2 linked regions of the Drosophila melanogaster genome follow. Changing the gene in region 2 together with the main gene of any one other region gives a genetic interaction. Each region holds a gene or a part of one and is shown on either strand. Other genes may lie near its edges.

Region 1 (3,998 bases), on a different chromosome or scaffold from region 2:
GACGATATGAATGAACCTACCGGTTTCTTTGGCCTGGACCTCCGCCGCCACTGCCCAAGGGCGGGAACTCCGAGTGATATGCATTTATGCCATTCTGATTGTGATTTCTACCTCCTGAACCTCCGCGTTTGCTTGGGCCTCCTTGGGGACTGCTTGTCTCGTGACTGCTATCGCGTCTGTCATTGAATCCGCCTCCTCCTCCATTGAAAAATCCACGTCCTCCCGGTGGATTTCCTCTATATGGCAAAACAAGATATTATATATAATTTAGAACCCAATCTTATGCACAACTTACCCATTAGTCCCACGATTGCCAGAGTTCATTGGTCCATTGCCAAAGCGTCCGAAGCCCATTTGCTGCTGCTGATGCTCTACAGGCAGGGCAAATCCACGTCGATCCTGTCGCACATGGCTTGGACCTGGGCCGCCGCCGCCGGCCCTCTGATTTACGGATCCTCCTCCCCCGCTGCTGGAGCTGCCTCCCTGAAAGTCACTATTATTGCCTCCTCCCCTATATCCGCTGGTTGGACTGTTCTTAAAGTTTCTTCTGCCAGGCTGTGGTCCACTGTTGTCCCGCTGCTGAAACCGATTGCTGCCGAAGCGTCCCTCGTTGCCCGCGCTTCCACCGAACTTGCCTCCGCCTGCAAATTTGTTCCTAAAGCCCTGTCCCTGATTGGAAGACTCATTGTTCGGTGGTCCTTTCGAGTATGGAGCACTGCGCTGTTGTCTGTAGTTGGACTCGTTTCTCACGGGACCAAATTTGGCGGCCGAGGAGTTCGAGCTCCTTGGGCCTTCGTTGGAGAATCTGCCACCGACTTCCTCACGAAAGTTGCGCTTGAAGTTGGTATTGGATTCATGAGGTCTCTTGTCCGCCCCGCCACCTTGAACTGAGGATGATGAAATACTTAGATGCTGGATCTTTGGAGTGATCAAAGCTTACCCTGCGAGGGCCTGCGCCCCGGATTGTCCCCAGAGCCCGGCTGACCTCGACTGCCACCTCCCGGGCCGTACTTTGGCCTGCCCGCCTCCACCACAATGGGCTGGCCCTTGAAGATGGTGCCATTCAGCGCTGCGATGGCCGCCTCCGCCATGTCCGTGTTCTCCAGATGGACGAAGGCGCAGCGATTCATCACGTCGCACTCAACGACCGATCCATAGTTGGTGAACAGTCGACGCAGCTCCTCCGGCTTGCAGCGCGGCAGGCTGCCGACGAACACCTTGGCGGTCTGCAGGATAAAGCTAGCATTACTCCGGATTACTATGGACAATCCGGCGGCGCTGCCTCTTTCTTACGTACAGTATTCATGTATTTATTTTTCTCTACAACTTTTCGCTGTTTTTTTCTTTTATTGAAATGGAGATGGACAACTGTGCACCTGACCGGCAGTGTGACCAGCGATGGCTACTTCCACGGCCATATCGGTAGCTATCGACATCGATAGACCCAAGCCATCACTTTTGTTTACCAATTTTAAAATTTTAAAAATTAAGGTTTCTCACGAGCCTGATCTATCATGTGGCCTCCAGGGAGCGAGGATAGCTACTCCGCCAAAATGGACTATGGCAAGAGCGTGGTGAACATCCTGCCCAGCGTAGAGATGCTGGTGAACTTTAATGGCGAAATGACGCGGTCTAGCAAACGGTCATGTCTACTGTACGCGGAGAGAGTGGACTTCAAGGAGCTGCTGGTAAATATGCTTGTCAAGACCTCCTCCGATCAAATTTCAATACATCCTCTGCCCCACAGCAACTCCGATTAACGGAGAAGTCCGATCAACGGCGCATGTACATCACCACAGTGGACAGCGCCTCCTTTCAGGATCTTAAACAGGATCAGTCGCTGAATGTGTCATTCTCTGGGTTCATTGACAATGTAGTGCGCATGCTGAAGGACTGCCAGTCGGGTAAACTGGAGCTGCACCTGACCACACGGGATCAGAACCTTTCATCCGGCAGGGAGGTCCACGACTATTATCTTCAGTTTGTTGAAATTCGGTCCTTTAAGAACCTAGTTCACCTTAGCCTGCCTTGTCGTTCTGCTCCCTTGAACACCGTACTCTTCTACATAAACAGCATGCTGGAAGCCTCCCACAAAAAGCAATATATTCTCGAGCAAAGTATGCAGCAAATGCAGGCTGAAATCAACGCACAACGCGCGCATGCGGAAAGGTTGACCACGGAAAACACAAATATCAGGGAAGCTTTGGCCGAAAATACTCGCATCTTAGAGGAAAAGCATGCTGCCGAGGTCCATCAATACCAGGAAAAACTGTCCAAAATAAACGAGCAGCGCAGCAATGAGCTGGAGAGAAATCGTAGAGCGATCTCCGGCTTTCAGGCCCAATTGGACAAGGCTTCGTTGGAGAAAGCAGAACTAAAGTCGGCCCAAGAGCAGGCCGAGAAACGATGTCAAACCCTGTCCGAGGAGTTGTCCTGTTGCAAAGCCAGAGTGTGCACCCTAAAAGAGCAAAATGACAAACTGCACGGGGATGTGGCCAATATCAGGAAGCATGAACGCAAGTTGGAGTACAAAATCGAGGACCTCAAGCAGCACACTGTCGAGCTGCAGGAACATATTCAAAAGGGAAACAAAGAGAAGGTATGTGTATAAAAAGAATAATGCACATCAGAAGAGTATATCCCTTTTAATTTTGCAGGCCAACATAGCCGCTGAACTGGAGGCCGAGAAGAAGATCCTGCACACCAAGCGCCAGGCTTTGGAAATGGCCTCCGAGGAGATCTCCAAGGCCAACCAGATAATCGTTAAACAAAGCCAGGAGCTGCTCAACCTCAAAAAGACCATTGCCTGGCGCACAGAGGTGGCTCTGCAGCAAGAGAAGGCGGTTCAGGCCAAGGAGAGCCTACTATCCCTGCGGGAGAATGAGCTGCGCGAGGCTCGAATAACTATTGAAAAACTGAGGGAGGAAATCCCCCAGCAACTGCAATCCATGCGTAACTTTGCCCAGGGACTGGAGCAGAAGTATTCCAAACGTAAGCTGAGACCCCAATCTTTAAGTGTACCTACTTACAACTTGCTCTTTTCAGAAATCCTCATTCTAAAAGAACGGCTTGCAATACCCACGGGCAAAGAAAATCGGCGATAGTTTTACTTATTGTTAATGCATTTTTTCGTTTTTTGTACCAGTTTAGTAAAGTTAGTTGTATTATTCAGCTCTAGTCATAATCCTCCTGAACACTTTCACCTGCATGAGCCGTGGCCACATTCACCGCTTGGCTGATATCCTCCATTTGGTTCAGTTTCAGTCGCTCACGGATGAGTTCAGCAATAGCTTTCTGGGTACGTCGTTCCAGTCGCTCCAACTTTTTGCTGGCATCCCGCTTCAGATCCCAGTCGGGTTTTCGGGGAGCCAGGTTGGTTATGTCAATCTCATCTATCACCATGGGCTGCTGGAGCAGACTCAATTGATCCTCCACAGCTGATTCTATGTTGCCCGTGGGTTCCTGTGCTAGAATCTCGCCATCGGTGGTCTCATTCTGGGGCTTGTAGCTGCGGAAAACTGGTCTGCAAAGATATATGAAACTGGTTTATAGGGATTCATAATAGCATTTCATTGTATTGCTGACTTGGGTAACTTTTCAATGGACTCGGCAGCGTCTCCTCCTTTGTTTTGCACTTGTTCCCGGAGTTTTTGCAGACGCTCCTTGCGTTTTAGAGATTCTTGTGTCAGCTTGCCGACGCCATTGTTGTCCATCATGCCCATGTGAAGTTTGTTCTCAAGATAATACAATTAATTTAAATTTGAGTCTGGGGTCTTTACGTTTATTTATTATTGTTATGTTTCTTGTTCTTCCCATACATATATCGTATATCGATTACAATCGCGTTCGTTACCAGCTTGGAATTATGCAGGTATGAACTATTATTTTACAACAAGATATTTGTTGTTATACAAGATTCGATTTTATTTTATTTATTACAATTTAAGATTAAGGAGGCGTATCAAGATATTAAAAATACATAATTACTTTAGTGACGA
Region 2 (3,996 bases):
AAGAACCGCTGCCTGGGCGCAACCAATGATCCGGTAAGTCTATTAATAAATGATCCATATAGACAAAAGGAATAACTTACTTTTGTTTATAAATTTTCTTACATTTTAAGCGCACAAAACGAAAGTTTGTCGATGTTGTCAAGAGGCTCGAAAATCTCTACGACTGCCTGAGAGATGGAAAGGTGAGAGCTGCTGCCTTAGATCGCGATTCAATTGCAATTCTCAAATGGCATTTACTTTAATTCCAGCTCACTCCCACCACGGTGCAATATCTGAATCAAATAGTTCAGTACATTCAAATATCCGACTATGCCAATGCTATGGAAATCCACACGCAAATCGCCTTCGGAACGGACTTTGCGCAGTGCGCGGGCTTTATGCAGGGACTGAAGGTCCTACTGCAATCCGCATCCGAGCTACAGTTGGTTCTGCGTTAGAGCCCCGTCGCCGGATCGCAGCCAAGTTCACTAAACGTATATTCTTATTGTGTCTTCAGATATCGATGTCAAACACAAAATGTTTTGTATACAAAGAGTGGTTCTCTACGTTAGTTTAGGCTGGGATCACCAGAAGATTGTCAACGTTATTCCGTGTATTGAAATATATTTCCACTTAAATCGCAAATAGACATATGCATAAATAACAAAACGAACATTGTACATGCTTTCACAACAGCTTCGGCTGGTTCCTGATATTCTCCAAGTCCAGTTGAATATGTGGCGAAGGGGCGGTCGCCGCCATGGGAGATTGTGGACACACCGGCTCCAGTTGCTCCTCGGGCAGCAGACGGTATTTTTTGAGATACTTGTACGAAGCATTGGATATGTCGTTTGGACTCTGCGCGTGGCCTATGTTGTCGATCGGACGCAGTGGCTCTGGATTAGGGGACTTCGGCGACGCCCCCAGGCGCATATCCTTCATCAACTCATCCACTGGCTGGCGCAAGTATTTCAGCGCCAGCTCGTTCATCACCATGCTCTTCTCGGTGTTGGGCTTGGCCAGTTGAGGGATCCGCTTCGCCTGAGGCGTATTGGCCCGGTAGCCCGTAGATTGGGCGATCGGCGGATGTGGTCGAGGAGACGGAAACTGAGGAATCACTCGTGCTTGTGGCGGCGGCAATGGTTCCTCCTCCTCTGCTATGTAATCCTGCATAATGGGAGACAAGCGTCTACCTGCTAGGAAGGATGTTTTATTGGATTCTTTTCATACAGATTCAACGTACGCACCTTGATTGGTGGTCAGAATATCGCACTGGGTGCCAGTGGTACTGCTGGCTTTTGAAATGGCTTCGGGTTTCGCTCGCTGCTGTTGCTCCAAAATCATCTCGCAGAGATTCCGAAGCTGTTGCTGCTCATGGCGCACGGACTCCACAAGGGATACCAGAGCCGCCAGATCACTCTTATTGGCCAAGTTGCTGACGTCGATGTCGGAATAGACAACCTGGGGCAGTGATTTTCGCGGAGGAGATGGGTTGAAGGGATCGGTCTGTGTGCCAGCACAGATGGTGAGGACATCTGCGTTGGAGGAGCTGGACAAGCGCCTAGATTGATATGCCTGTTGCTTGGGCTCGGCATTATAGCCACCAGCATTGCAGTTCATATGATTGGTAGTCTGCTGCGCATCGCTTGCATAGTTGCGATCCCGGGGCATTACTTGGTATTCCTTCGAGGAGCACGGACTATTGCTGCTGGGAGCGGTGCGAGGACCCAGTTCTGTGGCCAAAATGGGCGAAAAGTTGACCCTGGGCAGCATTTGCTTCTTCCAGGACGCGAAGGTGGGTGCAGCACGAGGGGATGACTCCTGATGTGCATGATTTGGCTGCTGCGGCTGCATCTGCGGATCCTGCGGCGGCTGGCCAAACAATATGGATACCTCCGGCACGGTGGGCCCTATAATCTCATTGGTGTGGCCCATGGGCACTGCTGCACTCGGCCTGGGCGCTAGTCTGGGCAGCATATCCTCCGTTTCGGGAACAAACATTTGGAGCGTATTTGTTTATATTTGCCGATTAAATTAAATTCGAGCGGGAGAATCTGTCCAATTGGAAGTCGATCGACTTAGGGGTGGAACTAGGGCTGACGTAAAACGCCAACTTATCGATACTTTATCGAGTGTACCCTACACTTAGCCAAGTTTCCAAGTGCACGAGTCACCCAGCGGACTGTGTGTCATAGCAAAAGCTGAAATTTCTCGGGGGAAAAATGCCTGTTTTGGAGCACATCAAAGCCATGGCAGAGACTCCGACTCCAGCTGAGAACAGCCCTGCACCGGCAGACGAGAATGCTCCGCCCCAGGCAGTCCGGGAACTGACGCAGACCGACCATCTCAACCGACGCCTTCTCAAATCGCTCCTGGAAAACATGCAGGCCACCGAGGTTCTGGCGCAGGAGAACGGGAACGGCTCCAACGAGGAGGACAACGATTTCGAAGAATAAATCCTTTTATTAGAGTACAGTAAAACTAATGAGCTAAAACGGATCAACAATCGTCAGTTTCGGGCGGGGGTCACCTATATGCGACGGCGCTTGTTGCTCTGCACCGGCGGCGGCGTAGTGGAGGGGCTGATGGACTCGTTGGACATGGAGCCGCGTGTGCGCTTGGCCGGACGCTTGGGCAGCTGCTCCTGGGGCTTGGCGACGGGCTTTTTGTCGCCGTCCTTGGTGGAATTCGTCGGTACCGGCGTTTTGGTTGCAGGTGGAGCTGTAAAACAACATTACAAGTGAATGAATCCTGATGATAACTAACGAACTACCTTTGCCATTGGTCTCTGCTGTTGGAGGGGCCGACTGTGCCTCTGCAGCCTCCTCGTTGGCATGCACTTCCACCGTCTTTTTGGTCTGTAGCGTTCCGTAATCCTGCTCCGGCAGGCTGAACTCGCGCTCCTCGTTGGGAAAGGGCAGCGACTCCAGATCGTCCAGTTCCTTCAGCTTGTACATGGTGCCCAGGTGGCGCCAGATCAGCTCGCTGGGCATTTCACGGTTCAGCGACTTGGACAGACGCTGGACAATGCAGGACATGTAGAAGTGCTTGTTGATGCCCACCGGGCGCAGGCCTTCCATTGCATGGAACAGCTGCAGCTCTTCCTCGGCGGACCACTCGTGGTCGAGGGCGGCCGGTAAGGGGGCCGCCGTTCCGGCCACAGCCAGACCCTTGTCCTTGGCCATCATTTTGCAGAGCGCATGGAACTAAAAACTGATACGTATTGTATGTTTTTCTGCGCGAATATTAGCGATGGTATGCGGGTGCGCTCACGCACCCGAACTATCGCCGCGCGGCACATCACTAGTTTGGGTGTGTATCCACTTTTATTCGTCAACTTTGCTCGATTTTAGCCCGTAGAGTTCGAGATTTAAAAAAAAAAAAAACATATAAGCCGGAGCTGGTAATTAACAAATAGTGTGCAAATATAGTTATGTGTTGTGTGTGCATCCGTCGAAAACTTCACTTTTCCACTATAATCCCTCTGCTAACCACACGGCGCAGTACGCCTTCGTGTGTTTGTGTGTGTGTTCTCCTTCACTATTTCTGCATAAAAAACTAATTTTCGGTGTTCCCAACGAGTTGAGCAGTGTTTTTTGCACACAACTCGGGTTCTCCATGTGCTGGCACAAGTAGCGCCCACCGCCCACCACCACGCCCACTTGGGGTCAGTTAATAACCTTGCACTTGTTCGCGTCAAGGCTTCCAGTTCGGCTGGAAAGTTAATCAGCAATGCGATCGATGAAACCAATGCCTGCGTTCGGTTCTTTACATGTGCCACAAAATAACACATATGTTAATGCGTAGTGTGACTCACTATCTAGCTATCCTAACTTCCCGCCTAGTACTAAACACTGACTAAACTACACCAATCTACCAACTATCTCTGTCTAGAATCGCGAAAATGTACACATATGTTATAGCTTTGTGTCGCCTGTTCGATGTTGTGCCCGTATGGGGAAGCCTGTACAAAGAATGAGATATCTAAACTACATATAACCAACTTGTTATTTCCAG

Evidence for each region.
Region 1: of ana2 (region 2) and Sas-6, changing one enhances a phenotype caused by changing the other (phenotypic enhancement), as found in Drosophila melanogaster (one study listed by BioGRID).

What each region holds. Positions count from the first base shown.
Region 1 is NT_033777.3:29,993,853-29,997,850, forward strand, and holds Sas-6 (spindle assembly abnormal 6), read left to right. Parts: upstream 1-1,504; 5' UTR 1,505-1,514; coding exon 1,515-1,688; intron 1,689-1,747; coding exon 1,748-2,599; intron 2,600-2,657; coding exon 2,658-2,991; intron 2,992-3,045; coding exon 3,046-3,104; 3' UTR 3,105-3,174; downstream 3,175-3,998. Other genes in the region: CG7903 (uncharacterized protein), read right to left, coding at 21-236, 296-887, 941-1,226, 1,298-1,306; CG15525 (uncharacterized protein), read right to left, coding at 3,175-3,523, 3,586-3,722. UniProt on the Drosophila melanogaster protein: Central scaffolding component of the centrioles ensuring their 9-fold symmetry. Required for centrosome biogenesis and duplication. In ciliated neurons, required for centriole assembly but not necessary for cilium basal body and cilia function.
Region 2 is NT_033778.4:8,898,141-8,902,136, forward strand, and holds ana2 (anastral spindle 2), read right to left. Parts: upstream 2,072-3,996; 5' UTR 1,981-2,071; coding exon 1,227-1,980; intron 1,176-1,226; coding exon 667-1,175; 3' UTR 589-666; downstream 1-588. Other genes in the region: Sec31 (secretory 31), read left to right, coding at 1-33, 111-182, 249-437; CG13751 (uncharacterized protein), read left to right, coding at 2,202-2,435; MrgBP (MRG/MORF4L binding protein), read right to left, coding at 2,510-2,700, 2,753-3,167.